4 linked regions of the Caenorhabditis elegans genome follow. The protein of the gene in region 2 purifies or fractionates together with the protein of the main gene of each other region. This does not show direct contact. Each region holds a gene or a part of one and is shown on either strand. Other genes may lie near its edges. The genes, in order: ZC443.4, taf-3, ttb-1 and gtf-2E2.

Region 1 (8,381 bases), on a different chromosome or scaffold from region 2:
TACCTTTAAACATTAGAAAGAAATCATTACAAAGTGGACTGAAAACAGTCGTTGGAAAAAATTTCAAGGAACCCAAAATTAGTGACAAAATGCACTGAAAAAAATGGTTCCGAAAAATTAATCACATTTTGAACATGTTTACATTAACCAAAAAAATTATTCACCTTAATTAAACTTGTGGTAACTTTTAATGAATTAAACTTCTGATTTTGCCGATAAGCATATCATATGAAAAATACTAAAAATGTCGAAATGTTGCACACAACAACAAAAAGTAATAAATGATGGGAGTGCCGACAGTCAACACTATTTCATGTTTGTTTTCCTACAAAAGTTATCACTCCGTTCTGATTTTGACGTCTTTTGTTTATCTCCATCTCTGTTCTCCAGTCTAAAAGGTACAAAAAGTCATATCACGCGGATGGTCTCGGTATACAGGTGGTATTTACTCATATTTTCACAATTGGGAGTCTGGAATTTTAGCAGAAAAATTGGAGTGAGTAACTGGAGGAAAAAACAAAATGTTGATGTTTGTCCACCGATACTCAGCTGACAATAACACTTGTTGACATTATTCGCTATATATTTGCATAAGTTTACCATTGTTTTGGAGCAACAATATTTGACTGTTTGGTCATCAATCCCTTTCAGTGTCTACCACATGTCAGGAAAAATGTAACGTAAAGTTCATAAAAGTCCATTTTGTTCAATGATTCAGTTAACACGGCTGACTGAAAAGTACATTCGAATTTATTGCACATGATTCATTACACAATTGACAGGTAAGGTGAGAAGTATTAGTTACATTTACCGCAATTCAATTCTGTCTTGATAAAATTTTGAATTGAAATCAAAAATCACAAATCTACAATCTTTTAGGGGTCTACGTATTTCGACAATTCAATTTTTCCCGAGTCAATGTCAGATGACTGCAATTTGGGGATTTTTTTCAGCTGAGATGTGACGTAGCACACCCTTTTGTCATTTTGATGGTCATGTCCTGGTAGTTTATGGGAGCTTCGCATTTCATTTTGAGGAGACAAAAAGTTTAAAATTGTATTTTAGCTGATCATCACTAGAAAAATTTATGTATTTTTTCAGTTATAAATTTAAAAATTACCAGAATCCCAACAATAAAAATCCGGTGGATTTTCAGAAATTTCATCAAACAGACGTTCTTTTCAATTTTTGTTGTACGTGTGATGCTACGTTTTCCCATAAACAGAAAAGCGAACAATCTGGTGCTAAAAAAATTTACGGCAAAAATGTTTTTCAGATTTGGCAAAAAAGATTTTTTCATTAGTTTATTTTCATGTTATGTATATAATTTTTTCAACTACTTGTGTTTACATGTGAATTTTCTGTGCGTGTACAAAAATTAAATTTCATAATAGTTTGTATAAGACTTGTTACCTGAAATTAAATTATTTTTTCAATAAACTGAAGCTGATTCAAAAATTTATCCCTGAACTATGAAATCTAAAATTAAAACACCTCGAACTTTAGTCCAACAAGAAACGATTTATGAGATCACAATATAATTTTTGCCAACCCAAAACGATCAGGTCACATTGACTTCCGTCCAACATTTTAGATATATGTCACGAGTTTTTCATCACAATGTTCCTGTAAAGATAAGTGGAAAACAAGAGGATTATGGTGACAAAATTCACAAATTTATTCACAATTGTTTTTGTTCTGTTATTTTCGGTTGCAATCTGAAAAAAGTGCAGGGGAAAAGTTAATTAAAAAGCGATACAAAGTGCGAAAATACATAAAATATGGGGGAAATTATGACGTTGGAGAGAAAAATGTCAAGTACAAGCGAACTTACAGATGGACAGCAGATGGATGGATGGATGACCTGAATGTGTGTTTTTCGTAGACTGCGCACGCGTACTCAAATCAGATGATGACCAGAAATGGAATAGGACAGGTGGTGTTGGTGGAAAAGTTATTGTAAAGTTATTTTACATGGTTTTAGAAAAACAACAAATTTTTACAAATTGTACAGAGTGAAGAGGAATAGTCCCTAAATTTAGAGATTGTGAAGGAAAAAACTGTGAAACATATATGTATAGGTGAGAAAAGTATTGTTATGGAACAAAAATTAAGAAAAAAGTTACAACATCTCGTACTCCATAGCATCAACGTCTTTGTCGTCAATCTTCTCAATTTCCTCTTCATCGTCCGACGACTCTTCGATTTTTTGCTCTTGAGTAACTTCCATGGCTTCTACTTTTTCTTCTTCAGATTTTCCCAGAAGGATTCTCATAATTGCTTGTTTCTGATCTTCAGTGATATTACAAGATTGGAAATCTGGGAAATTAATATTTTCAGACTCCGACTGTCTGCATCTAATTGAGCTTTGATCTTCTGTTCTATCATCTTCATCATCTTCCAAATTCTCATCATCTTCAACATTTTCCTCCTCCTCCTCATCATCATCGTCATCATCGTCTTCTTCCTCTTCATCCTCTTTTTGACTCTTTCCAGAATCCTTAGCTGTTGAGATGAGCTTCTCGACGACTTCATTGAGCTTGTTAGCCACGTCATCTTCCTCTCGTCTCTTTTCAGCTTCTTCCATTTGAGCCTTCAGAATTTCGCAGTATTTTTTAACCTCTGAAAGTTCATTGACCACAACATCTTGTGCCACCGGAGCCTGCTCAGGAGTTGGAGCTTGAACACTTTTCACAGCATTGTAGTATACTTTTGTAGCTCTCTCAGGAATTGGGCCTTCTCCAGGAATCAGAGCTGGATCATCAAATGAATAGGCTGGCACATTCTTCTGTGATCTTGACTTTGCTCGAACTTCTCTCAAAGCTGCCATTTGTTTTGCCTGAAATATTAAATTAATCAAGTTCAAGTTAACATGTTAAAATTTACCGTTTTTCTAGCAATTTTTATCTCTTTATCAGCTCGCTTGATTTCAGAATGTCGCTTAAATCTTCTGTATCTTCGGAGCAAATGATCATTGTGACCACAGAGAATTTCAATCTGAAAACCAGTGAAACTTTCAGAGCGGAACTCTATCTAGCACGGCAATTATATTATATTTTCGTGCTCTAGTTCCGAGTGTAGTCAACAAATTTCATAATAATGTATTTCAAACAATTTCCGATAAGAAAAAAATTTGAAGACTAACATTTTTGTGCTTAGGGACCTTTTAGATAAGGGACCTTTTATTGTTTTTGATAGAATTTTTGAATAATACAGAGGAATCCTGTTAGCAAAATCGGGTTTCAAAATATATCGCTACCGTATTTTTTCAATCAGTCTTGCATCCCATTTCTTCATACGCGACTGATTTCTTCGTGTTAATATTCAACCATTTCCGATTTCAACTACCATAATTAAATTTAGCAAATCTACATAAACTTCCCGTTCAGCACTAGAACTCAATTTGCAGTGGGTTCATAATATATTCAATCAAAGTTAATTCACTCACCCCGCGAGATCCATAAACTCCATGGATTCCTTCCGCTAAAATGAGTCCATCCATATGCTTCTCAAATTTGAGCATTTGCTTAAACATGCTATTAGTTGGAAACATTGCAGCACGAGCCAGTTGTACTGTCATATTCATGAAGAGTAGATCGTTGGCGGGACATTGTTTGTATACTTTGATATACTTGTAGAATTCCTGAACTTGTTGAGGAGAGCCGACTGCTAGAGCATCGTAAACGTTGTGCCAGCGCTTTGAGACATTCTGAAGACTCGGACGGATATCGATCCTCTTGGTGATGTCACGTAGTCGGTCCACAAAGTTTGCAGTGTTCACCACTGGCATTTTAGGGAATTAAGTGAGAATTGGGGCAAAAGATAAGGAAAATAGAATCAAGAAGTTTGCAAAGGCGACAGATGTCGGAAACAACGACCTTCCTAATTATGGGCAGGAGGGTCGATGTGAGAAATAAAGAACACACGAGACTACCGAGAGACCGCGACGCGAGCGATGGCGACGTGTGTGTGTTTGAGCGGCCGAGGAGGGGTGTTCGACGACAAACAACTGGCAAAATATAGGGAGAAGAGGAGGACGAAGCAAGAGCCGACTGGCGAGCGGCTATGCGAAGCGGCCTCTACGCCGTCGTTTCTCTGAATATTTATTGGTCAGATGTCCCAGGCAGAGACGAGACTGACAGAGCAGAAGAAGACGTCGTTTCGTGGCGCCGTGTGTGTGCTGCACAATGAAGGACTTGACGGACTACTAGTCGGTGTGAGAGAATCACGGGACTAGATGACTGGTTGGCAAGAAAAAAAACAGAAATGGATGGCTGGCCTCTTTTTTTTTGAAGGCAAACGTGTGTGGAAAACGTTTTTTGAAAAATGGCAGTGTTTGGGAACATGTGAAGAGAAGTGACTCGAACTTTAAACGAAATTCGTTAAAATTTTAAAGAAACGTTTGAAAATTATTTCGTTAGGGTGGGAAAAATTTCATTTTTCAACAAAATCGTTACAAGGCGGAATACTCTTTGACTCTTTTTTTTTTGGAAAACGATCTGCAACTTGGCTAAACATGAAAAACATGAAATAATAAAATGTGACAAAATACTTTTCAGTTACTACATATACAACAAATTGTTCCTTCTAAAGTTAAATGGATGTTAATTTATGACTGGTACAGCAGAAAAGTGATATTTTTGTTAGTTTGTTTCCCAGATGTCTATTTTTAAGATAGGCCAGTTTGATACACACCTACAGTCTCACTCCGCTCAAGAAGACCTTGAAATATTTTGAAATATTTCGCAAACTTACATGTGAACATATCTAATAATTCTGTTAGATATGCTAACTGTTAACTATTCGAAATCGAACCAAAGTTCGTCTTCTGACATTCATTTTAAATTTGAAACCTTTCCCATCATCAGTAAAAATCTGTGGGAAATGAGGAGAAAGCATATGCGGAACAAGAGGCCGGAGGTTTTCCCGGACGCTGAATTATCACTATCACGAGCAGGTCTATCACAATAGAAATTTGTCATAAATTGTTGCCAAATGCACATAATTTCGACCAAATAGTCAACATTTCCATTTCTTATCTTACAAACCAATCATTCAAGTTAAGATTACTCCGATCATGAAATTCGCTCTTATTTTATTCTTTGTATTAATACATTCTACATTAACGTATAAAGTTTTGGTTTTCAATCCTGCTTATGGTGCAAGTCATTCTAATTTTCTTGGAAAAATATCTGATATTCTCATTGATGCAGGACACAATGTGGTAAGATTTATATAAAAGTTATACATTAATTAACTTTAAAAACACTTTAGAAAATTTTCAGACTATGCTGATCCCAGAGTATCTGATAACTAAGAAAGATTTTGTTGGCTCAAAAAAAGTGAAAGATGTAGTGAGAATAGGAAGAGACGAGAGAGCTGGAAAACTTTTCGAAGAAGAAGGGATTGAGCATATGGGAAGGGCAAGAGTATGGAGAATGGATCCTGAAATGATGTCTCTGGTAACGGTTAGTATTTTTTGCTTTCGATGAAGTATTTGAAGCAAGGCCTTAGTACGCACCGAGGTTGCCGTTTTTCGTTTTTTTAGAAGACTTAAAAGCGAAAAACTTTAGTGGTTAAAGTTGGTCAAACAGAATTTTTTTTTGTAAAGTCTGAAAAGTGGGTGGCAGTTCTTAAAAGTTGATTGCGATGTGGTAGCGAATTGTTGAACCTAAACGTGTTTGAATTTGAAAAGTTTCTCTCAAATGAGAAAATAATGCCAGTTAATGTGAAAAAATAATCTGAAAACATTTCGAAATTCCAGATTGTCGGCTCAATGAACCTGGCTATAGGCTACCAGTGTGAATGTGAGTACCTTTTCTGAATGAATTCTTAGTCTATTTTCTCGCTTACAGATATTTTCCAACAAAAAGATATTATCGATCGTCTGAGAAATGAGCATTTCGATCTTGCAATAACGGAATCCCTTTTTGCATGCCCATTTGGTCAGTTTTTGTCGTATGTATATATTTCAATTTAATACACTTTTTCAGCTTTATTCGACCACATTGGAATCAAGAATGTCATAAATGCAGAGTCGAATTTATTTAAGGACGCTGTAAAGTATGCTCATGGAGAGCCAGCTGCGATCAGTTACTACCCTGGACTTTTCTCTCCACATGATGACAAAATGTCGTTTGTAGCACGTGTCAAAAACATGATCACAATGCTTTTTACGAAATATCTGTATGGATCAAGATATGAAAAAGAGCTGGAGATGATTAAGCCATATTATAATGGAACTGAAACTTGGGAAGATCTTTTCACAGGAGTAGCATTTAATTTGATAAATTCAAATCAATACATTGATTATCCGTCTCCAGCTTTGCCTAAAACTGTTTTTGTTGGCGGAATGCAGGTTAACACAAACGAGGCTAAAACAAAATTAAGTGATGAATGGAATAATATACTTAATATACGCAAGCAGAATGTTTTGATTTCATTCGGATCAAATGCATTTTCATCGGAAATGCCTGAGGAGTTCAAGTAAGAAAATGCAAACATCAATATCAAAAATTCAACTCTTTCAGAAAATCATTTTTATATGTGTTCGGAAATATGCCTGAGATTACTTTCATCTGGAAATATGAAGAAGCCAATGCAACTTTGACTAGTCATCTGCCAAATGTGAAACTTACCACGTGGATGCCACAAAACGATTTGTTAGGTAATTATTAAACGTATTTTACAAATTTATTTTTTAAGATACATAAAAATGCGTAGTTTTAAAATTTTGACGTCACAAAAATTGTGTAGTGTGATTTTTTGTAAAAAAGTGGAACCTCCAAAAATGAGTATTTCTAATATTTGAATAGGTTAACCTAGGACGCTAACTTTACTACCTTTGTTCTTAAGAATTAACAGAAGAGTTTTTGGAATAATTTTTGAAACACACACTTGTGTTTACTTTCGATCGAAGTCATCAATCAGGAACTAGAAATTTACAGCTGATGATCGTTTGACACTATTCGTCACCCATGGTGGGTTGGGCAGTACAATGGAGTTAGCTTATCAGGGGAAACCGGCACTGATAGTGAGTACACTCTTGCCAGATTAAACACCACTCTATTTTTCAGATTCCCCTTATGGCTGATCAGCCAAGAAATGCTCATATGCTCAAAAGGCACGGAGGATGTCTTCAGTATCACAAAACCATGCTTGGGGACTCCGAACAATTATTAAAAGCTTTTAAAACTGTACTGACTGAGAGAAAATATTCTGAAAATGCTCAGAGACTTGCTAGAATCTTGAGAGATCAACCAGTTTCTCCAAAGGATCTTGTTTTAAAGCACTGCGAATTTGCAGTTGAACATGGGGCTCTAAATTCTTTAAATTCTAGAGGAAGATATCTAAACACTTTCCAATTTTATTCATTTGACATAGCAAGTTCTATTGTGATGTTAGCACTTTTGGTGTTAGTTTTTATATATTTTACTCTTTTATTTATATTCAAACTTGTTGCCCGAATTTTTTTATCGCAGAAAACCAAGATGGAATAAATAAATGGATAATCTAATTAAAAATTGTAATTTACTATTTGGAATCAAAAATAAATAAACAAATCTTATAATATGTCAGCAATAAAAATAATAAAAGAACAATTGAAAGTTCAATGTGTTGTCAAGAAATCCATTAAAGTATCGTCATCAACGGGGTCATCAATTTCCATGTTGTTGTTATTGTCTTCCATAACATCTATTTCCATGAAGTCTTAGAGTACTGACAATAGTTTATTTAGTAAATTAATTTTTGAGAAAGTTTCTTGACACATTGCTTTGAGACTTTGATTAAATCACAAATGACTCACTATTATCATAATTTTCTATCCAAAATGTTGATTTCATTTCAATTTCCATTGAATCAGCTATTCCATTACATCCATCAGTTGGTTTACAAAATGGGACCAGTGGCCTCAATATCTGTATTTTCTTCCTTTTTTGTGAAAATCGTACTTTTGAAAATACTAATGGATTCTCGTTCTGATCGAAATGAGGAAACTGTGCTGTTTTCTAAGAACACTTGAGACGTGGATTTTCTTTGTTGTTCTTAAATACGAAAATCAAATTTACTGACAAAATATCTAAAACTTACAATCACTTCGTTGCTGTAGGGATAATCACAAAAATTTGACATGATTTTCTGGTTTTCATTCTGAAAAACTGGGAGCATTTTAATTTGAAAAAAACGAACCGTAGTCTGCCCCAATTGATTTGTTGGTAAAGGAAGTGAATTAAAGCGACAAGGAATACATTTATCTGTTGAAAGTGAATGCATTTTTCTGGAAAGACGGAATAAATTGAAATTAAAACAATATTCAGTTAAAGGGAAACTGAATTATCCCAAACCCGGGTTATTTCAAAACGGAATCTACATCTTACTTT
Region 2 (7,645 bases):
CCAACTACCAATTCAAAATGTGGTACAACTTAAAGATGAAGTGGCACCAGTTGAGAAAGTGTTATGGGTACCAAAATGACCGAATATCATGATAAAACTACAAAAACATTTTTAATTTTTTTAAAAATTTACTCTCAAAAAGTGACAATTACTCAGTTTTTGCCACTCAGAACTTTGGAAGTCGACCAAAAAAAATTGTTTCTACATTTTTATACTGTAATTTTATTCTCATTATTTGTATTAAAACATTGTGGGGGTCGGAACATGCAACATTGGATTTCCTCAAAAGCTCATATCTTTTCAAAATTTTGGCAGTTTACCAAAACTTTTACCGGAAATTATGAAAAATCTAAAAATTTTTGAAGTGTTTTATTATGATGATCAGTCGTTTTAGATCATCATAAGTGAATTTACAAATGTTAGACAAAATCCCCACTGCCGCTACTCCACCTTTAATAGTTGATAAAGTCAGTTGAAAAGTTACAACTAACAATTTACATATCTATAATGTATTTAGAATTCTTGAATTTTTAGAGACATTACAAAGCCTTATGAATAGATGTTTAAATACAAGGTCTAAAAAATTGCTTCTAAACCAATCTGTCAGTTCAAGATTTAAAAAAATCTTGCAAGCTTCTTGTTAGATGAGCTTTTAAAAATTCTAAAATCTGCGCATTTTTCTTCCTAATTGTACGGAATAACAAAAGAAATTAACAAAATGTTTTTTAAAATTGATGGAGCCGGTTGAAAAAACTGAAAAAAAAATTCCGTAAATCTTATCTTAATCTTTTCTAAAAATTTTAAGTAAGTTGAAATTACAGTAATTTTGAATCCGTGTACCAAAATGAGAAACTAATTTTCAAAATATAATATCTTTGCTTGAGTGTTTTCGTTAGAGTCATTGCCGTTTTTCATTGCCCCATTAACATATCGCTAGCATAAAAATGGCACATCAAAATACAATAAACAATCTTCAAACCGCACGCTGTCATTGTTTCAGACAAGAAATTCTCCTAACAACCACCAACCTGGAACATCCTCTTGCTTGACCGGTGTAGACGTCTTTTCCTTTTCGATCTTCACACAATTCTCAGCAGATTTCCGCTCTTCTCGCTCTTTGCGACGCTTCTCCTTTTTCAAACGCTTGTACTCTTTGTACTCCTCCGAACTCTTGTCCCGTTTCTCCTTCTTCGGCTTCTTCTCCTGATCCTCTCCAAATTCCAACGTAGTATCAGCGGCAACAGATGACGATGGTCCTTCGGGGAATTGATCTTCAGTTTTGATCTCCACCTCCAGTGCTGGCTCGGCCAACAGGAACGGAGCAGAGTCAATGTCAACTGTAGCTCCGACGACTGGAACACTTGTCGCCGGCTCCATGCTAGTCTGGGGAACGAGAATCGGCGCAATCGTCAATGACACCATTCCCGTCGCTGTTGCTGGTTGTTGTGCTGGTGGCAGCGTAGTCTGAATTGGTGCAACGACTGAGTTGGGTAGAACAATTTTACTCTTTGCCCGCAATAACTGATCCCGAATCTCTTCAGCTAATGTCTGCTTCTTGGGCTTCTTATCAGAAGTTTTTTCCTGCTTTTCCTTCTCTTCTTTAAACTCATCTAACTTTTTCTGCTGCTGTGCAATGATTTGCTCACTGAGACGCTTTCTCTGAAGCTTTCATGTTTGAGTATTTGTTTGTTGCTGTGAAGTGTTCAAAAACGTGCAAAATCGTCTTAAATTGTGTGCTGTGTTAGAGTGTTAGGAAGAGTGTTAGAGTGTTGAAAGGTGCATCATTAAAGTGTTTCTTAACTATATTTTTGTGCAAAAATTCAAATAACAAACCTTCTCCAAAGTGGCTTTCTTTGGTGGACGACCCTTCGGTTTTGGCACAGTAACAACACCTTCCGGCTTCGGCTTCTTCGGACGCCCTGGCAATCCCTTCACTTTTGTCGGTGTACCAATGCTCATTGAGCTTCCAGGTCTCGACGATGGAGCAGATCCTGGATTTGAGCCAGTGCCAGGGAGTTTCAAGTATGGCTTATTGGGTTTCACCAACTCGGACAATCGGAATGCTGGTCCAGAATCATCTTTGAATGGTGACTTGTGCTCGAAGGATTTTCCGTAGGCGTTGATAGTGTCCATGAAGATTTTGTTCTGAAAAAAGTTTGGTGAAATACAAAAATAAAACATTTTCGGTGAGCAGTTTTGATACATTTTTTAAATAAAATTTTGAAACTTGTCTGAAAACTTTATCGTGTCAAAATTTGTTTGAAAATCAGAACTTTGAAATTTCAATTTATACGTGAACTAACACTCATCAAAATTTGCTCCAGGAGCACGCGGCAAATCTATTTTTTAGGTCTAGTTCTAGTATATGTATAGTAGTGAAAGAAATAGTGAATCATTTTTTTTGTTGAAAACTTTGAAAAAATCTCAAATCTGTCTGAATATTCCCATTTACTAAAAACAATTTCACCAGCCGTTGGTGCAAATTTTTTCGGCGAACCAATGTTTCGAAATTTTCAAAAAAAAAACTTCACGACAATTACACACCTTTAAAGTTGGATTACTACACCAAAGTCGTCAGTTTTGTAGATTTTTCTAGAAAATTTGCAGCCCATCTTGATTTGCACATGAATGGAGGTAGATCATAATACATTTTTTGAGAAAAAAATCGTCAATATCATAGATATATTTTCTGTCTTTTTTCTGTTGGCAATTTTCACAAAGCTAGTTTCACCAAAATTTCAAATTTAGTCTCTAATAGAACATTTTCTCTAGAGAAAAAAACTCACCTTTAGGAATGCTTCGGCCATCTCACCCAAACTTGGCGAAGCCATTATACTAGCCGATGCAGATGACGATGCAGAAACAGAATCCGTCGAAAATGACGGTAATGGCTTGTTGACTACCGGCGGTGGGAGCGTCGGGGCAACCTTGCTCGCATTCTGAACCTGTAAGCGACGCTCGGCTTCCAGTCTCTTGTTCTCTTCGAAATCCTTAAAGAATCCGGTCTCAACAAAGTTCATATCTTCAAAGTTTGGAAGGGTCGAGCCAGGAAGCGCCGTGATTCCTTTTTTGAATCGTTCGTGATTCCGTTTCTTGGCGTACGCGGCTTCCTCCGCCTCACGACGCTCTTTCTCCTCGCGAGCTTGTTGAACTTCCGGATTCTCGTTGCGTCGGTAGGTGTTGATCCTTTTCAGCTTGTTGAACTCATCCTGTTCACGTTCTTCAGCACTTTTTACGACTTTACGTGTTCCCGTGTCATCGGGCGGCTTCTCCTTGTTTTCTTCTTCGATCCATTCTGGGTGAAGTGCTCGAAAGTGTGAAGGAATGTGCTCACGACGCTCCTCGAGCTCTTTTTCTGATGGTTTCGGGCCGTACATGGAACGGAAGAAATTGTCATCTGACTTTGCAATTTCCTGGTCAGGCACCGGGATAACTGGGAGCTGAAAATTGCATAAATTAGATAGTTTTTCTGGTGGCTTTTTGTTTGCTATGTGATCTTTATTTCTATAGATGATTCTAACTTTTCAAAAATTTTTAAGTTTAGTTAATTTTATTTAAGTACTGCGGGATATTTTAAGTTCAGTTTTTTGTGGTTTTCGTGGTTTTCTCATCCAAAAATTTTTGAAATAGTAAATAAATTGTTCACTTCAACTTTTGGAAACTTTTAGAACTGGAAGAGGACGTCCTAGCAAATTGGAGATTTTTTGGATTCACCAAAACTAGTGATTCCTCAAAAAGTACATTTTGCTCAATCACAAAATACACTTGGTGTCAGGCTGTCGCATTACGGCTTGATCTACAAAAAATGCGGGAGTTTGTTCTTAAAACAAGTGTCGTCAGCACACTCTCAATCATGCAAAATCAGTTGAGAAGTATGCGACTAAATTCCCGAAATTCTCTAGGTAGATCAAACCGAAATGGGGCACTCTGGCTGATTTTTGATTTTGAATAAAACTACTTTTGCTTCAGATTTCTTTTTCTTTTTGTTTGGTTTCGTTTTAATTTTCAATGCTTCAATTTTTTTCTAGCTTCTAATAACTTCCGGCGTCTGGCAGACCATAAAATAAGCTCTTTTCTTTAGATTTCTCTTCAAATTTCAAATTTCAGTTACAAATCATAATATCCTCACCGCATGAAGCATCTCTGATTTGACCTGTTTTGCATAATCCTTCAAATCTGGAAGGCTAACTTTTTGGTGCTTGAAAGCTGCAATCACATCATTTGTGACCGGTTTTGTGCGACCCGCTGGAAAATAATTGAAAATTGGCATAATATTTTGAGAGAAGAAAAAATTCCCCACCTAATTCCATAAATGCTCTCGTCGAATGTGCATACTCGTTTATCTTGCTTCTAAGTAAGGCTGCCAGTTTGCTGTTCGCCGATTGTGCGACAGACGTGAACCCGAAGTCCCGAAGGATGCTTTTGCAGGTGTCCTGCAATTTGTAGACGGCAAAATCGTGAGCCGATAGGCTCTGCGATTCTTCCATTTTGAATTCTGAAAAAAGAAACATTATTAGAAATAGTTCATGTGGTTTTGGCAAAAAAATTTAATAAAAAACAATTTTTCATGTATTAATAATAATGAATGAACCAAGCAAGACAAATCAATTTGACAACAAAAAAAATTAAACTTGCCCTGAGAAAACTGTGAAAAACAAAAATCTTAATAAAACAATCTTGCTATTTTTTAAATTCTAAATTTTACAACTTTAAATTAAATTACTATGAGCCAGTTTACGCGCCTCTGCTGCCCGGCAACAAAGACATCTGTCACAGTGGAGCGCGATTGTGACTGTCTCTAGCGATTTGCTGTGTTTACGACCTTCAAAAGAGAGAGTGAGTGTGTGAGAGACTGTTAGAGGCACGAGAGACGCAGAGTGCGAGTGAGTAAGAGGCAGGAAATAGCCCAATGCTTGTTTGTTTAAGAAGTACCTTTCGAAACAAGCAAAACTAGAGCATGTTGAATTTTTATTTTTTTCTACTAATCAAATTTGTGAAGCAAAAAATGCAAAAGAAGCAAAATGTTCAATTATGATTTCACGGGACACACAAAAATATACAGGAAAAAAAATTAATTAAACATAGAAAAAACTAAATAAATCTGAAGAAAATTAACAAGAAACGACTGATCTGCAGAGTTTGTATAGAAATTGAGAGCCAAGAAAACAACCAAAATTCAATAATTTGCGGGCCAAATTTGCGCCAAAATCACTCGAAACAAAAACAAACGGTACGGGTTTGAGAAGAATGAACAGGAAAATGGGAGACGCAGACGTGCAATTGACGAGACAGTGCACACCAACCGAGAGAGCGCAGAGAGACAGGAGGACGGTTGCAGGTGGCCTGTAAGGATGGTGAGGGAGGTAAGCAGGACAACATGTTATTATGGTATTCAACTGATAATGAGCTGGTTTTGCTCGGTTGCAAATCTTCACATAGGTTTGTTGGTAATATTATAATCGACTAATTAATTATTAAAATAAAAATGGTCATGTTTAACATTTTTCAAAAGAAAACTCCATGCTTTTCGGACCAAGTTGCCGGTTGCCGGAACTTTCAGCGTTCGGCAACTTCAGCAAATTCTGCTTGTCGAGCATGGCAATTGCCGAACTTTTTTCAGCAACTTCGGCAACCGCCGATATCAGTGTCAAACATTTTTTAGTTCAGAAAAAACAAGAGAGCCTGAAAAATGCTACAATTTTACTGTAAACAAAAAAAACGACCAAACTTTTTTTCAAAACGCTCAACAATATAATTTCAAAAAAAAAATAAATATATATATATGTTTGACCAACGTCAAAACTTTGAAACCTGGTTGCCGGTTGCCGAAAAGCTGCCGAAATTTACGGGGTTCGGCAACTTCGGCAAGTGCCCGATCACGTAGTCATTACAGGAGACCAAGAATTCAAAAAATCAATCTCTGGATTAGTCAATTTCGGTCCCGTTGACATACAATTTATCAAGTGTGAAGATCTAGATCTGCAACAGGGAAATTTTTGGAATGTTGATTCGGATGATGCTCGAGAGAGCCGACTGTGATTTGAAAGCTTCCAAATATTGGTTCCAATTTAGCCATTCGTCGCCAATAGAAAGAGTTACACACGGGAAGATGGACACCTTGTGATGAAAAAAATCTCAAAACTCATTGCCGAACCACTTGATCGAACGAATACCTATACCTATAAGAAAAAAAATGTACGCACCTGAAACATGTGGGTAACAAACTCCTACTTGAAATGAAAAAAAATATGCGGAATATGAGAAAAAAATTGTGGGTAAAAATTCATACACGCGTAAGAAGAACAGGAAAATATTTTGAAATCCACGGAAATGCCCCCTATGAAAAAACATGCACCCACATAAAAAAATGATGGACTTCTTAATGAAAAATGATGTACCCCCTTATGAAAATCAAGAAAAGTTTGCAAATTTTATGAAAAAACAGTGTTTTTTAGTGAAAAAACAATTGTGACACAATTGTTTTTGCGTAAAGTTAAATGTACAGAAAATGTAATTGTTTTGTGCACAAAGTGTACATGAACCATTTTTCAGATTGTCCTCCTAGGCTCGCTTCACTCGCCCGGGCTGGACTCTTCACCACCGCTCACCGCGGCGGGACAAAAATCTACATGTACATCTGATATATCGTATGGTTTGAAATTGAAAGGACTGGTGTCAAAAGAACCATTATAGGAATCACTAGTCCTAGGAATAGTCAAGTATATACAAGTCCTAGGAATAGTCGTCGTGGCATTTTACTTGTGAAAAGTTTATTTGCGGGGGCATCCAGACGGTTCCCTTCAATATAGAAACTACGAACTTGGGAAGAAATTAGGGGGTATTGGATCATTTTATGTTCAATTATTGCAGCTTCCAGCTCATTCGAGAGTCCATCAGTAAGATCAAATTCGTGAACGAGTGCGTAGACATCCGAAACGTTTAGTTTGAATTTTTGTCCTCCGTGGTTGTAGGCTTCGATGAGAAATTCGCTCTTGTTCCCAAGTTCAGCTGTCGAAGATCCCCCACGAGGATGATCGATAGCCCGCCGAAGAGCGCATCCGTCCTCTTCTGCGTTCTTTTGAGAACCATGTCCGTCGCATCCAGGTGCCAGCTCGCTAGGAGTGTGATTTCATCGATGATAATAAGTCGTGTCGTGGCGTAGATGAATGCCTGAGATTTCAAGCTTTCCAGATCTTCAGGTTTTTCGTTCGGTAGGCCAATTGTGCAATGCAGTGTGCGCCCTCCGATCGCTTTTGCTGCTTTCCCGGTAGATCCAGTCATCAAAACTACTCTTTTTCCTGCGCTTCTGTTCATTGAGTTTTCTATTAGCTTGATCAAAAATGTTTTCCCTGTCCTAGCTGCACCATTTATCATTAACAATACTTGTTTCTGAAAACGAATAACGAATTTTGGGAAAAAAAATATTAAAAATAATTTTAGAAATGAATGAAATTAGAAATTAATTTTGAAGAAATGGATTTTGGTGAATTAGGAAGATTATTTTTAAAAAAATAGAAAAATTAAGTTTCGATACATCAATTATAGAATTAAAAAAATGAATTTTGGACATTGAATGAATTCAGAAAATGAATAAAGGTAGAGTTTTAAAAATTAGAAAAAAAGGTAACTTTCGGTAAATAAAGTA
Region 3 (7,745 bases), on a different chromosome or scaffold from region 2:
TTTTTTCTTTATGTCTTACTTGAAAATGCTGTCAACTTTGATAATCCAAAAAAAAATTGAAGAAAAACTGAAACAAAGCTGAAAGTTAGCTGATTTAAAACAGCTGAAATCCATAAAAAAACTCAAAAAAATGCCACGTGTCTCGCAATGGTTAAGAATGAATTAATTCTTGGAACATGTTTTTTTGATTTTTTGTTAAAAAATCCACAACGTGTAAAGGTGGAGTAGAGCCAGTGGTGAAATTGCTTTAAAACATGCCTATGGTACCACAATGACCAAATATCATAGTAAAAAAATGTAAAAAAAATTTCTAAATTTTATATGATTTTTTGAAAATTGAAAAAATCTCGAATTGCACCAAATTTCTATTTGAATTACCGCCAATAGTTCGATGTTCGATGGAGCGGTGCTTGCATTATTTTAACTTTTATTTATCAACTTTTCTAATTTTTGATTGATTTTTCATGTTTTTTTTTGAGTAATTTTACTGGAAATGTAATGAAAAATTCAAGATAAATGTAATTTTTTTATTAAAAAGCGGGCGCTAAAAGATTATTTCAGGCTCAACGTCGTTGGAAAACGTTATTTCTCTGTTTTCAAATATTTTTAATAAAACATCATTAAATTTCCAGTAAAATTACTCAGAAAAACATGAAAAATCAATATTAAGAAAAATTGATAAATAAATGTTAAAATAATGCAAGAACATCGAACTATTGGCGGTAATTCAAATCGAAATTTGATGCAATTCGAGATTTCTTCAATTTTCAAAAAATCATATAAAATTTAGAAAAATTTTTTAAAATTTTTTTACTATGATATTTGGTCATTGTGGTACCATAGACATGTTTTAAAGCAATTTCCCCACTGAGCGTAGTCTACCTTTAAGAAACTCATTAATGATCATTAAAAATGTAGAAAATTTTAATTAAATTTTTTATAGTTTTATTCGATCATTACATCCTTTTTTTGTCATTTGAAGCAAAAAAATCGAAAATTTTGTTTTTTTTTTTCGTAATTTCTTAAAAAGTACCCAGCGACCAAATCCATATCCACCGCGCATTTTGCAATTCTCGTGGCTGCCGCCTGAATCGAGTTGGGTAGCGATAGATTTCCACAGAACCGAGACATAAAATCTGCAGATGTAATTTGCTCGAGATTCGTCTCCAAACTCCGTACGATAATCTTGAAACATCGTCCAATTTCCTTTTTCGAGACTCGAGAAACCGCACAAATTTCCTTGAAAGTACGGGGAACGCCGTCTTTTCGGCACGCAATGTATAGGCACGCGGCCGCCTGTGCCTCGTTGTTTTTTCCGCGGAGAGCTTTACTTTCGAGCACATCTTTGAATATACGGGAGGCGCTGTCCTGGAAATTGGTTTTTTTTTTGTAAATTTTTGAATAAGCTTGTTAATATCTTGAATTTTTCCTAATTTTCTCAGCATTTTCAATGAAAATCGGTGAAAAAAAAAGAAAATCGCATGAAAAATGGATGGAAAATTCGAATTTTCAACTAGAAATGCGCATTTTTACTGAATTTTTTTTGACTGAATTTTTTATCAAAAAGGGCATAAAATGTTGTTTTTTTTTGGAATTTGAAAATTGAAAAAAAAAACAAATTTTTCAAAATTTCATACTCAAATTAGGCTATTTCTCTGAATTTTCACTGAAAATAGGTGAAAAAAAATCAGAAAATTGCATGAAAAATGCCGGAATTGTTAGGAAAATAGGTGGAAATTTTGAATTTTCAAATAAAAATCAATTCCAAAAAATGGAAATCATGCATTTTCAACTAGAAATTCGCATTTTTAATTAATTTGTTTTAATTGAAACAATCAAACAGGACATAATTAAAAATGTAGATTTTTTTTTTTAAATTGAAAAAAATTGGTTTTTTCCAACATTTAATACTGAATTTGGGCTATAAAATTCTGAATTTTCTGCCTTCTTCCTATATTAAATTCGGAACTTGCGTGATTTCCCGTTTTGCGTGTCGCAAAACCACCGTCCGAAAACTGAGCACACACTTTTGTCTCTAACTTTGCTGTTACTGGATATTTTTTGATTTTCTTTTTTTCAGAATATGTAAAAATATTTTTTCTATCTTATTATCTAAATGGTTATGTAATTGGTTCATGTCTTTTAAGAGAAAAGTTAAGTAAAACACCAAAAAAAGGCGTTTTTCGCGTGTCATGTCGCTTTTTTTGCACAGTGTTGAAGGTGATGGTACAAAATTTATTTGAAACAATTGGTGTATGTCTGGGATTGTTAAAAAATTTTAGTTTCTGCAATTTGATTGACTGTGAGCAAAGTTATAGTAATTTGAAATTTACAGCTGAAATATCTCTACATTTTGAAAAGTGTATGGAAAACATGTTTAACCTCAACATTTTTGTTAGGTTTTTGACATCAATATGTGAATTTGTACGTAGATTTCGTTTTTTAAAACAGTTTATCAAATATCTACCTGGAAACATATGAAAAAGTTCAAAATTTGCGAATTTTGCAAAACATTTTAAACATAATAGGAAAAAATAATGTTAGCAGCGTTGCATTGGTTCGACCCCCACCGAGTGTTATTTTTTTTTTAATTTTTTTTTTGAAGAGGTATTCGGTTAGGAGTTGATGCTAAGGTACTGTAGGGGTACTGTAGGTGGTAAAAATAGGTGTACTGTAGGTGTACTGTAGGTGGTAAACGGTAGGTGTACTGTAGGTGGTAAACGGTAGGTGTACTGTAGGGGTACTGTAGGTAGTAAACGGTAGTTTTTTGTCCAAAAACTTTTTTCCCCCTCTCAGAACTTTGCAGTCGTTTGAGCTATTCTGATTCTGAGCAAAATATATAAAACCTTGAAGATTTCTTAAGCGAGTGACAAAAAAATTTTGAAAATCGAGTCATACATCACAGAGATAATCGACCCAGAAGAAAGTTAATGCCTTTTTTGATTTTTGATTTTTCAACTTTGAGCGTTTGTTAATTGGTTTGTTTAAGATTAATTTTAATTCTGTTTTTTTGAATAGACTCAGAATTTGACACTGAATTCGAAAAATGTAAGATTCAAAAAAATTTTAGGGGAAATGTTGTCCAGCTTTAAAAATGAAAAAGTTTTGAAAAAAAACTACCATTTCATATCCTCACCTAAGTTTTCGAAATATCTTTTATGTTTTTACATTTTCTTTTTAAAAGTGAAAAATCTTTTCAGCATATTTCATCAATCTTAGTAAAAGTTCAAATCAGCGCCGAAGGCGCTAAATAAGACTTCAAAGTGTTAAATTAGAAACAACTTTTTAGTATGTTTCTTTCTTTCAAAAAACTTTGAAAATCCAGCGCCGAAGGCGCTGATAACTCTTAAGAATTTTTGAATTTGAAACAACTGCTTAGAATATTTTTCTAATCTTAGAGAAAATTCAACTCAGCGCCGCTGGCGCTAAATAATTTTTAAGAATATTTCAATGTGAAACAACTCCTTACATTAGAATGTTTCTTCAATCTTAGAGAAACTGAAAACTCAGCGCCGGAGCCGCAAAATAATTCTTAAAATGTAAAAAAGAAACAAATCCTTAGAATATTTTATTAATTTCAAGGTGAACACACTTAACCCCAACACAGGTTTGAGGCGAAGCCGAGAACCTACGCCAGCTACCTTGCTGATACGTTAGAGCGAACTAACCCTATCCCCACTCCCGAAGGCATAGCGCACGTCGTGCGCTAGTCACTGAAAATAGGTGAAAAAAATCAGAAAATTGCATGAAAAATGCCGGCATCATTAAGAAAATGGGTGAAAATCTTGAATTTTCAATTAAAAAACAATAATTTAAAAGAATTTTCTGATTTTACAGAGTAAAATCTTCCAAATTTGAGATTTTACCCAAAACTTTCCTTGTGAAGACGTTATTCATATGGAAAATTATTGGAAAAAAAGGTGGATACCTTCATTTTCCACTTTTTTTTTCGAAAAATCGATGAATGACATAGAAACGTTGCTTTTTTACAAATATTCAGGTTGAAATTAAGTTTTTTCACAACTTTCTTTGAGTTTTTACGGAAAAAACTAAAACTTTGATATTAAATTTTTTTTTTTCGGGAAAATTCAGGTTTCATTGACAATTATTCAACTTTTTAAGCGTTGAACAGCTGTTTTTGTCCAAAAGTGAAAGAAAAACTTTCAAAAAATGTCTAAATTCGCTAATTTTTTCCGGCTGAAATCGTTCAAAATTGAGATTTTTTACAATTTCATGTGTGTTTTCAGCAAAAATCCAGGAAGAATGTCATTTTTATAGTTTCTATTCCAATTTTAAAGTGATTCCTTTGCTTTGAGATTATAAATCTGTTTTTTGACGAATTTCCCAACATTTTTCATCGAATTTTTCAGTTAAAATCCAATATTCTACCTGAATATTTCTTGGCAAGTGAATTCTCTCGCTCATTTCCCTAATAAGGCTCATCGCGGCGGTCATTTGACGATCCGTATTGTTCATTGACTTTCTTTGAGCATTCGCCAAACTATTATCACTGTCGGAGCCGCCAAAGCCCACGGCGATAGTTGTGCTCAAATCTCCGCCGCTGAGCAGCGGATTTTCCGGTGCTCCGACACGAGATGGGTCATTTCCACTACGTTCGTTGGAAAATGAACGCCATTCGGTTCCGACGTCGACCAGACTGAAAAATAGTTAAATTAATTGCTTTAAAAATGATTTAAAGATCATTTTTTGCAGGAAATTATATATTTTTAAGGCTCACCGATCACCGACGACCAAGCCGCACGCCGGACAGACCAGATCCCCGGCACGGTGATCTTCGATCAAATGCACGTCTGGATGGATCGGACACTGGACTGGAGCCGACATTTTCTGCTGAAATTTTGAACATTTTCGAGTTTATTCGGATTTTTAACGGTGAAAATGAAGGAAATTCGAATAAAAGTCGATTTTTTGCCAATATCCTAGTCATTTTTTTCTTTTTAAAAGTCTTTTAAATCGATTAATGACCAATTTTTACACTATAGTGAACTGTAAACTAAAATTTCCGACGAAATTCGCACATCATTTTGCATTTCGAAAAAAAAACACAATTTAAATAGCCAGAAACGGAGTGTCGTTAGCGCGCCCTGTTTAGTGTCAGGGCGAAAATTGGAGGGAATTTAAACGGGATTTTTTTAGGATTTATGAAGAAAAAACAAGTTTTATAGCGACTTTGTTTTATTTTGAAGTAAAGTTCAAAGAGAAATGGCCAGCAAGCGTTGTAAAAACGGGCATTTTTAGGCGAATAGTTTGTATTTTCGTCGATAAAACATGAGAATTTGGTTTAAACTACTTTCTGAAGAATGTAAAAAACGAGAAATCGTGAATAATCGCCGAAAATTGAGAAAAAAATGTATAAAATTCGATTTGTTTGTTTGTCCGAGAGGAGTACACGGTCGCGTGGCCTAGGAAACTTTAAGCGCTTTGCGCGCGGGTGTTCAAATAATAGTTAATTGGCAACAGAGATTTTTGGGCATGCCCAAAAATGCCCGGGCACTTTGAAGCCAATTATCTTCCGTTCTCGGTTTTTTTACAGAAAATATTGAAGTTTAATTCATTTGGCAAATTTTAAAGAAGCTTCCCCAAAAACATCGCCCCAGGAAAGGGAGAAGAAGGATTTTTAGCCTTAGGAGTTTAAAAATTATGCAGTATTGCATTATATATAGTTATATACAAACATTGTATATAAATATATTTAAATATATTACCCAGACGCAAAATTTGCGATTTCAATCGCGTTATTTCGCCAAAAATACGGTACCCGGTCTCGACACGACAAATGCCGAATGGTCTGCGCCTATAAAGAGTACTGCGGAAGTTTTGTAAATTTTCATAGTTTTTCAACAAAAATTAATTGATTCATTAGTAAAAACTCAAACACAACAATATATTTTTTATAACTACATAAATTCGTCAAAAAGTACACTATAAAAAATACATTAGAAGCCAGCAAAAAAAGTTTGAAAGTACAGTACCGTTTGAAGGCGCACACCTTTTTGCATTTAACAACAATTTGTCGTGTCGAGACCGGTAACCGTATTTTTGGTGCAAAATCACAAATTGTCGGTGTTAAATAGATCCCTTTTTGCCGCCCCGTGAGCTCAAATTGCCACGTAGCATGTGCAATAAATTCTGTATGTAGTCTGCTCAGGATCCCCATACGAACACCACGTTTCCCTTCTCAAGTGCAACCCATCAGATAGAGACCGCACACGTGGGGGGTCTCTTTTTCTTTCTCTTCTCATTCTCTATGTTTGTTGGTCGGTCGACAGAAGGGGCAAGCCCCACCCCCAAGGGGCAAAGGTCGGTTTTTGCGCGGAGAGTGTGGCATTGTTGGAGACGCAGAGAAAATAGTAGTCTAGTTGATCGGAGGGAAAAGGTGTCTCAGAAGTTCAATGCAGTGACGGGAAATTTAGAAGATAGTAGGAAGTGCAAGTGGTGAAATACTATTCTGATGAGCTACTATAAAATATACAACAAAAAACTATTGAAAGTGGTATAACTTTGTTCATTGCAGAGATATTAATAAAATGCCAACTGACCAAAAACAAAAAAATATTTTTGAACATTTTTCTAGTTGACAGTTTTTTCATAACTCGTTTGCTTGAAAAGTTATGAGCGTTTCTGTCAAGTAGCATTCTTTAATCGGCCAACTAAGCCTAATCCTATCAGAGAAAAATATCATAGTTTGCAACTTGTTTTAAGTTTTGAAACGGAGTCCTCCACATTGGAAAAACGTTTATAACTTTTTAGAGAAAACCGAGAAATGAGCCTGAGCGTTAGCCTAAACCTGAGCTTAAGCCTAACAGCCGTAAGCTTCGAAATAAAATTTGAACCTTATCTTATAAGATATAGCGGTCAATGTATAATAGAAAACATCTGACTCACCATATGCCAGTTTAAAAATTTGTGTAGTTTTAAAATAACATAAATCATTCAAAACTTTTCAACTTGTAAAGACATAAGTAATAATTAGGTATGCATATTTGTGCCTAATGCCTAAGTTATGAACCCACCACGATCGAGGACCAATTCTGAGAATTTCATGATTGGCACATAAAAATTTATCTATGATTAACTCATAACTCCCTCCGATTTTAGACCTTAAACCCTTGTATTTGAATATGTAGTTCCGCGGAATTCCGTTCCCATTTTTTCGAATGCTAACTTCTGCTTCTCCCTCCAAATTTTCCCCATTCATTTCCAGACAAATAAAGTCATCTGACACACATAAATATTTAATTTACAATCAACATAAATGTGTGACTTGATAACTTTCTCTTTTGCCCTCTAATTTTCCAACAAAAAAAATTGAAGTAGAGAGTCGAAAGGTCAGTGCCACCTTTGCCCCTAAATGATAACACACACGTTTTTTTTTTTGCTGATTGGTGTTATTTTTGTAGTAAGTTGTTTCAGATTCTATTTTGAAATCTCTGATTCCCAGTTGTTTATGTCAACAAAAACAGTGATGTGTGTGTTTGGATTTTTGGAAGTCGGAGATCAGTTGAGGAGGGGATGAGGATGACAGTGACATAATGCGTGTTAGTGGTGAGGGGCCGACTCCGCCCATAGAGTCCAAAGGGCGATTCACAAATTGGGCAGAGGCGGCATGAAAAACGAAGGGGGTCCTATGAGCAGATGGTCAGTGCATTGCCTCTTGGCAAACTAAAAAGGAACGGTGGATCTCACAAAAAGAGACAACTCGGAGAAGAGCAAATTTTCGTGTT
Region 4 (7,007 bases), on a different chromosome or scaffold from region 2:
TAAAGAGAATAGAACCGACGATATATGGGTCAAATGTTTATACAGTTGTGCTACTAAACGTATTGTTACACGCGTTATTAATAATTAGAATTAGAATTATATCGTTTTGTACGGATTGAGAATCCCATTTGGGTCGAAAATGTTCTTGAGCTTCTTTGTCAAAAGTCGTTCTTCAGGATCTTTTCCGAATGTGGAGTACGGTAGCTTCAGTTGACCGATTCCATGTTCAGCTGAAATTGACCCGCCGTGATCGACAACCCATTCGTAGAGGAAGGGATAGAGCCTGGAATTTGAAATTATTAATAGAATTAAAATTTTATAAAAAAGAAAAATCTCGAAACTTACAATTTTTCAAGTTCTTCATTGTGTTTTTCAGATGTAATATTTAAATGAGTGTTTCCATCTCCCAAATGTCCATAAGTGACAATTCTTTTAGCCAAAGAACCACATCGTTCCTTCATCACATTCGTCAATTCATAATAATTTTCCAATGGTAAAGAAACATCATGCTTATAGACATATCCATCTCTGGTAACCGCCAATGGTGCACTTTCTCTCAATTGCCACATCTTCGTAGCTTCTGCAGAAGATCCAGCGAGCACTCCGTCGATAATCAGATTTTTTGAGAGGCATTCATCCAAAAATGCGCTCATTTTCTCCATATCGTGATCTTCATTGGATCCTGATGTTTCGACAAGGATCGAGAATGGGGTTGGAGCATTCAGTACTGGGTGCAATCCTAGATTCGTTTTCAAACATTCCATCGTAGCATCGTCGAGAAGTTCGAAGGAGGAAAGGATTTCAGTGAGGCTGGATTTTGCAAGCTTCAGTACTTCGCAGCATTTTTTGAAGGATTCGATGCCTGAAAAAAATTAGAAATTGAAAAATTTGAACCCATTATATAAATATTCAACCTACCAAGCATCGCACTTTGTACACTTTTCGGTTTAGGAACCGCAGTCATTGTGACGCTTGTGATAACACCCAACTGCCCTTCACTTCCCAAGAATAGGTGTGGAGTGTGCAAAGTTGTGTTGTCCTTCCGAATGCTTGATCCCAAATGTAGAACAGTTCCATGTTCATCGGGAAGAACCACCGTGAGCCCGAGAAGATGTGCGTGAAGACTTCCGTATCGAATCAACCGAATCCCTCCTGCACACGTGGCAATATTTCCTCCAATCTGACAGGATCCTTTGGCTCCGAGATCAAAAGGCATCATATATCCGAGTTTTGCAAGTTTGTTGTCCAAGTCTTCCAGAATAAAACCAGAATCACACTTGAGAATTCCCATTGTGTCGTCGAAAGAGAATTGCTTGTTGATTTTATTCATTGATATAACAACTTCATCATGTACTGGAATTGATCCACCAACGAGTCCTGTATTCCCTCCTTGTGGGACTACTGCCAATTTGTTCTTGGAGCAATACGCCAATATTGCAGAAACCTCTTCGGTGCTCTTCGGGTAGAGGACGACACTGCCAGGACCTGGAAATTAAAACATTTAATATTTAAAGTACCTATTTAATATTAAATAAACCTAATCTTAAAATACAAATACCTTTAAATTGGCCTGTCCAATCTGTAGTATGATTTGTAATATCGTCCTTCTTCACTGCATCTTGCCCGAGAAAATTCTCAAATGCCATTAAATCCGACTGCATCACTTTTGCAAATCCTTCATGTCTGGCGGCAAGAACTGCTGCGTAGCTTCTAGTTGGTCTTCTGATTCGTGGCAAGATTTTCAGAAACATCTGAATTCAGAAACTTTTCAAAAAATAACTTGAAACTTCAAAAGAAATAGTAGGAGACAAAGCTCGGCTAGGTGACCGATTTGCCGAAAACAATAAGAAAACAAACGGCTGGGCAGTGATAAGAAAAAGAGACAGAAGAGATACAAATGATCATAGTTCATTTTATGTACTGTTAACAGAAGTGTGTAATTAAAATCATTCGTAATCCTCCAAAACTCCGTCCATATGCTCGTTTTGTACTTTTTGATTGAACCGTCTCTTCGCGGCTTTTCTTTTCAGTGGAGCCTGCATTCGAACCTTCGGCGTCAGATCCTTCATCGCGTCGAGACCCTTCTTCTGGAGATATTCTTCGATTTTCTTCTCATCCAAATGATCCACAGACACGTGTCTCCACAAGGCTTTGAAATCGTCTTCGAGCTCTGGGAATGTGAATTCTTTGTCATTGTAGAAGACGACTCGATCCTTTTTCTTATTGACTTGTGTCGGAACAACGATCACTTCAGAGGATACTTGCTGGAAAAATTTAATTTAATATTTCACAAAATTGCTCCTTTTTTATACTTTGATTTTTTCAGTTTGACAAATTTAAAAATTCTGATTTTTAATCAAAATTAACCCTAAATACCCTAGTTTTTGAAAAGTTATAATGAGAATATTCTGCCTTCAAAAATGTTTTTCCTTTGAAAATTTTTTAAGGAAAAAGGTTTTATGCTGGAAAAGTGTAATAATTTTTTTTTACTTTATTAAATATATTTTTTCAAACCTTTTTTTTATCGATTTCAATGTTTTTTTGTGGAATATTTAACTTATGGGATCGAAAATGATCAAAATTATTCGTGTAAAAATTGAAAAATAACGTTAATTTGTTCAAAAGTCTGAAAATAAAGTAATTTCTGAATTTTATTTTATAAATTTTCAACACATTTTATCTTTTTTGTGAATTTATATATTTAATTTTCAATTTATTTCAATTTGAAAATCAAAAAAAAACACATTGTTGAATACTCAGAAATTCTAAAAGATCTAATTCATCACAAACTCAAATTTTAATTACTACGAAAAATAAGCCGCTGATAATTTTAAAATCAATTTTACTAATTTTTAGCTGAAATTTTTGAAAAATAAAAACTTTATTTTTGTTATAAATTATTCAAATTCCCACCTGCAGTAGTGCATCATAATTAGCCACACACTCAGCCAAATCCGACACAAGAATTCCACCTTTTCCGTCCTGATAATGTTTCCTCGCGACAGCTACCAACGAAGTTTTTCCTTTAATTTTGTAAGGTGGTCGAAATGCGAATTTTTCGGATTCCATTATCAGTCGAGGATTGTTTGGTAATGCTTCTTGAAGGAAAGCAAGACTTCTTTTTGAAAGATCAAAAATTTGAAGTTCATCGAGAATTTCTTGAAGTGTCAACGGCCATTGTTGATTGTTTAGGTGGCGTTTCTGCAATTAACTGTTTTTAACTCGAAAATTTCGCTTTAAAATATAAATACCTTCATATAATCCACAATTTTCGCCATTGTACTGAAATTTGTGGCATTTGATAACGCATTGGCGTTGCTCACGGAATTATTGAAATCTGGGACTGAAAATTCCGTTTTCAGAAACTAATATTACATTTTAACAACTAACGTTTCGACAAATTTTGAGCCGGTCCAGAGCTTTTCTTCTTTTTCGCTTTTGCTGCTTCTGAAGAGTATGTTGTGTGTGAATTTGGTGCTGTTGTCTTAAAAAATCGATAAATTCAATATTTTTTTAATTTTTAAAGTTCTCACAGGCTTATTCTGAACAGCCATCGTTGTTGCAGCATGCTTCTGGAAAGCAGTTCGCTGCCTTAACAATTCCGGATCCATTTTTGCTTAAACGAAAACCTTTCGAAACAATGAAGAGTACTCTCTTAAGAGTGAAAATCGATGATGGAAGAGGTTTTTCAAGGCCAGTGGCCGGCAAATAATGGTGGCAGGGGGCTGAACCCTGTAGTAAACAATAAAGTGAATTAGTTTTCGCTGATTTTATCAGAATGAGAAAGATGGAACAAGGAGTGAAAGGAGCTTTAAATTTGAACAATTAAAATTAAAATTAAAGTGAAAGTAAAAGTAAAAGAAAACAAAAACAAAACTAATTCTACAGTTGGAAGCTATTTTCAAAATTTTCTAGACAGATAAAACATGATTTATTCCAGCTGCTCCTCTTCTTCTAGTGGATCATTGACGAGTTCAGCAGCTAGGTCATTTGGAAGCTGGAAGCCTATTTGGTGAAGAACCACTGTGTTTGATATATCCGTCAACAGGCGAGCCATTGAGAGCTGACCGTCGAGCTCTTCGCGGATCTTTTCAGAACACTCGGTTGTGTTTGTCGCGTTCTTTACCATTTCCTTCAACCGTGAACTTTGAACGTTCCAAATCTTTTCGAGAAAAGCTTTGTAGCAACCGTCTGTAATAATAATAATATTCGTTATTTCTCGCACCGAAAAGATGACAGAACGCCGCTCACCGTAATGACCATCGAGTTGCGCAAGATGATTGAATGCGTGGTGCAGTGGTTCGGCGAGAAACGTGGCAGGTGCAGCCGACCAACGATAAAGATGGTTGCGTACGAGACACACCATCTCCGCGGCTTCATTCTGGAGAGTTTCATAGTCGTCGCGGCGAGGATCGAGACAGGTGACAAGATATTCGCTGAGCAATCCTGAAGAATCAATGGCCAGCGCCATAGAAGATGAGGTCTCAGACCAAAAGCCTTGTACTTCGCAAACTTCTGAAAATTAAAAAGCTATTAAAAATTAAAAATATTAAAAAAAAAAATATTACCAATGATCCGGAGGAAAAGCTGATAAAGTTTCTTCCCGCTCCACATTTGGTCCGAACTCTTGGAATTATTCATGATGCGAAGAGCGCGGATTCCATTGAGCAACGTTGACAGCAATTTCCTATAGTTTGGCTCACTCTTCCGCAAAGTGAAGGTATCTGAATCGTCCTCACAGAAATACGCCCAGTCGACGCGTTCGCCAATTCTTGAAGATCTTGTTGGTCCGAATAGGATGTAATAGAACTTTCCCTGATATTTTTCAATTACGTTTCGGATCAGAACAGACAACCAGGAGCCAAACTCGATAATCTCCTGTGGAGAAGCTTCATCGATGTCTTGACTCAAGTTGAGGAAGAGTTGGGTCAACCCGGAACGAACTTTCATCTCGAGACCTATCAACTGGCCCGGTTTAGCAGTAAGAACCTTGATAATCGAAGGACGGAGATCAGCGTCGATCATGATTGCAGCTTTTACCATTATACGACGTTCAGAGAACTTCCAATTGTGCGTTATCGTTTCCAGGAGTCTTCCAAAACCATGAAGGGAGCCTCCGAGTTGATCACGCAAATTCCGGCAGATGTTCAGGAAGACTTGAGCGCGGATCTTTGTGTTCATTGTGATCGTGATGGATTTGATGAGGCCACCTGTTAAAATACATTTAGATTTATAAACGAAAATAAAAATATTGCAACACTAACCACATGCAGTGAAAGGATCATTCTCTAAGAATTCTTCATCGTCGGGGCGGAGTGAGCTATTGAGAAAGTCAAGATTATCCAATTGCATTCGACGGAAAAAATCGTGGGTTGAAACGTAGGTTTTGACTCGTGAGCACAACTTTGTGGATGTCAGTGAAAGCGCATTAATGGATTGCACTGAAAAATGTGAATGTTAAAATTTCTGATCAGTACTTCACAACTAACTGTCAAGAATTGTGAAAATATGCGAATAGGCTCTATTCGGCAGGTTTTCCAAGCCCACTGGTGCATCTGGAGATGGCACACATTTCGAGGAAAATTTGACAGGAACACCTAAAAGTGCTCGCAAATCCTCCAAGGAGTACAAAAGCCCATTGTCTGGTGAATCGGTATGAGAGGTTTGAGATAAGTTGTTGGGAGCTTCGAAACTTTCTGAAAATCAAGAAAATTAATTTTAAATTAAAAGAAAAATTGTCGTACCGTCCAACTTCTGGCATACGTTTTTCGATTCAGAGCTTGAACGTTCCCGTTTTACTGTTGCAAAGAACTTCGTGATTGGGGGCGTCGAATCGGAATTTCTTCGCTTTCTAGCCAACAATCGGAACGGTGGCTCGGTTCGCCGAAACATTTTTATACGAAAAATACTTTAAAATCAGAGGAAAATACTTTGGGACCGGTGAAAAAGCATGGAGGTTCGCACAAACTTGTTTAGGAAAACAGAAATATGTCTCCGTGGCAGGACCATACTGTGCGCCGTTGATGTCCCTTTGATACAGTACTCTTCGCATTATTTATTTTTTTTCGGCGCGCCTAGGGGTTTTCGAGCGCAGAGTTCAGGAGGCCTTCTGGATTATGGATAGAGGCTTGATTTTTAAAATTGTTTAATTCAATACAGTTTTATTAAAGTTTTTTCTAAAAATCTTTTCTAAAAATAATATCTGATTGCTGTTTATACACGAGAACAAAACTAATTTCATGGAAACAATTTTTTCTCTTTATTTTCTCTTCGAATAATTTAAATTTTAACAATTCAGGTTTTAAATAATCAATTTTTAAATAAGCAAGTGAATTTTAAGCATAACTTTTCTTCCTAGTGTACGTAAATCATTCTTTCCAACAAACATATTTTTTCGTGACGAAACTTCGCCTTCCAGAATATTCTTTTTTCAGAAAATAAATACCAAAAAGCACAATTTCTTATCTCTTGCTCATTCTTTTCTTTGTATCGTGCTCATGCTTTTATTCATTCCTCATTTTTATCTTGCGAAACCAATGTATTTTCAATAAAAAAAACGAGTGATGCATGTGCGCTCCACCGGCCGACGGAAGATCGAACATGCACTGCGCTTCGCGAGTAAATAGAACGCTCTGGAAAGTTCCGCACTCTTCTCTCTCATGATTCGGCGCACTCTCTCTTCCATTTCTCCGTGTTTCCTCTTCTGATGTTGACCCATATTTATTCTGCCGGGTGTATTCTTTTTATCTATCTGTTGCTTCATTTATTCCGTTAACCTGTTACTGGTTAATATTTCAAAAATTCATATGATTTCTTTTCAGATTACTTTCCACAATGGGAAAAGACTACTACAAAGTGCTGGGCATCAGCAAAGGTGCAACAGACGATGAAATCAAAAAGGCTTATCGTAAAATGGCTTTGAAATACCATCCGGATAAGAATAAGGAAGCTGGAGCTGAGAACAAATTCAAGGTATTTTTTAAAATTTAGTTTTCTAATTTAAAAAA

What was found.
Region 1: the proteins of taf-3 (region 2) and ZC443.4 fractionate together in Caenorhabditis elegans (co-fractionation; one large-scale study listed by BioGRID). This does not show direct contact.
Region 3: the proteins of taf-3 (region 2) and ttb-1 fractionate together in Caenorhabditis elegans (co-fractionation; one large-scale study listed by BioGRID). This does not show direct contact.
Region 4: the proteins of taf-3 (region 2) and gtf-2E2 fractionate together in Caenorhabditis elegans (co-fractionation; one large-scale study listed by BioGRID). This does not show direct contact.

The regions. Positions count from the first base shown.
Region 1 is NC_003283.11:12,815,256-12,823,636, forward strand, and holds ZC443.4 (DUF659 domain-containing protein), read right to left. Parts: upstream 4,632-8,381; 5' UTR 3,791-4,631; coding exon 3,449-3,790; intron 2,998-3,448; coding exon 2,887-2,997; intron 2,840-2,886; coding exon 2,123-2,839; 3' UTR 1,657-2,122; downstream 1-1,656. Other genes in the region: ugt-18 (UDP-glucuronosyltransferase), read left to right, coding at 5,078-5,224, 5,286-5,468, 5,765-5,807, 5,856-5,945, 5,994-6,486, 6,531-6,667, 6,948-7,033, 7,077-7,499.
Region 2 is NC_003284.9:16,329,292-16,336,936, reverse strand, and holds the start of taf-3 (PHD-type domain-containing protein), read right to left. Parts: upstream 4,503-7,645; 5' UTR 4,488-4,502; coding exon 4,301-4,487; intron 4,246-4,300; coding exon 4,130-4,245; intron 3,441-4,129; coding exon 2,787-3,440; intron 2,146-2,786; coding exon 1,834-2,145; intron 1,660-1,833; coding exon 1,029-1,659; intron 1-1,028. Other genes in the region: C11G6.2 (ATP-dependent DNA helicase), read right to left, coding at 6,940-7,389.
Region 3 is NC_003283.11:153,931-161,675, reverse strand, and holds the start of ttb-1 (Transcription initiation factor IIB), read right to left. Parts: upstream 4,852-7,745; 5' UTR 4,846-4,851; coding exon 4,739-4,845; intron 4,658-4,738; coding exon 4,390-4,657; intron 1,369-4,389; coding exon 1,034-1,368; intron 1-1,033.
Region 4 is NC_003280.10:11,538,880-11,545,886, forward strand, and holds gtf-2E2 (Transcription initiation factor IIE subunit beta), read right to left. Parts: upstream 3,617-7,007; 5' UTR 3,612-3,616; coding exon 3,534-3,611; intron 3,485-3,533; coding exon 3,391-3,484; intron 3,344-3,390; coding exon 3,252-3,343; intron 3,202-3,251; coding exon 2,914-3,201; intron 2,265-2,913; coding exon 1,947-2,264; 3' UTR 1,894-1,946; downstream 1-1,893. Other genes in the region: dhgd-1 (D-2-hydroxyglutarate dehydrogenase, mitochondrial), read right to left, coding at 97-283, 346-862, 919-1,485, 1,559-1,751; F54D5.9 (F-box domain-containing protein), read right to left, coding at 3,932-4,191, 4,252-4,515, 4,569-5,210, 5,265-5,441, 5,490-5,696, 5,745-5,892; dnj-13 (DnaJ homolog subfamily B member 13), read left to right, coding at 6,835-6,972.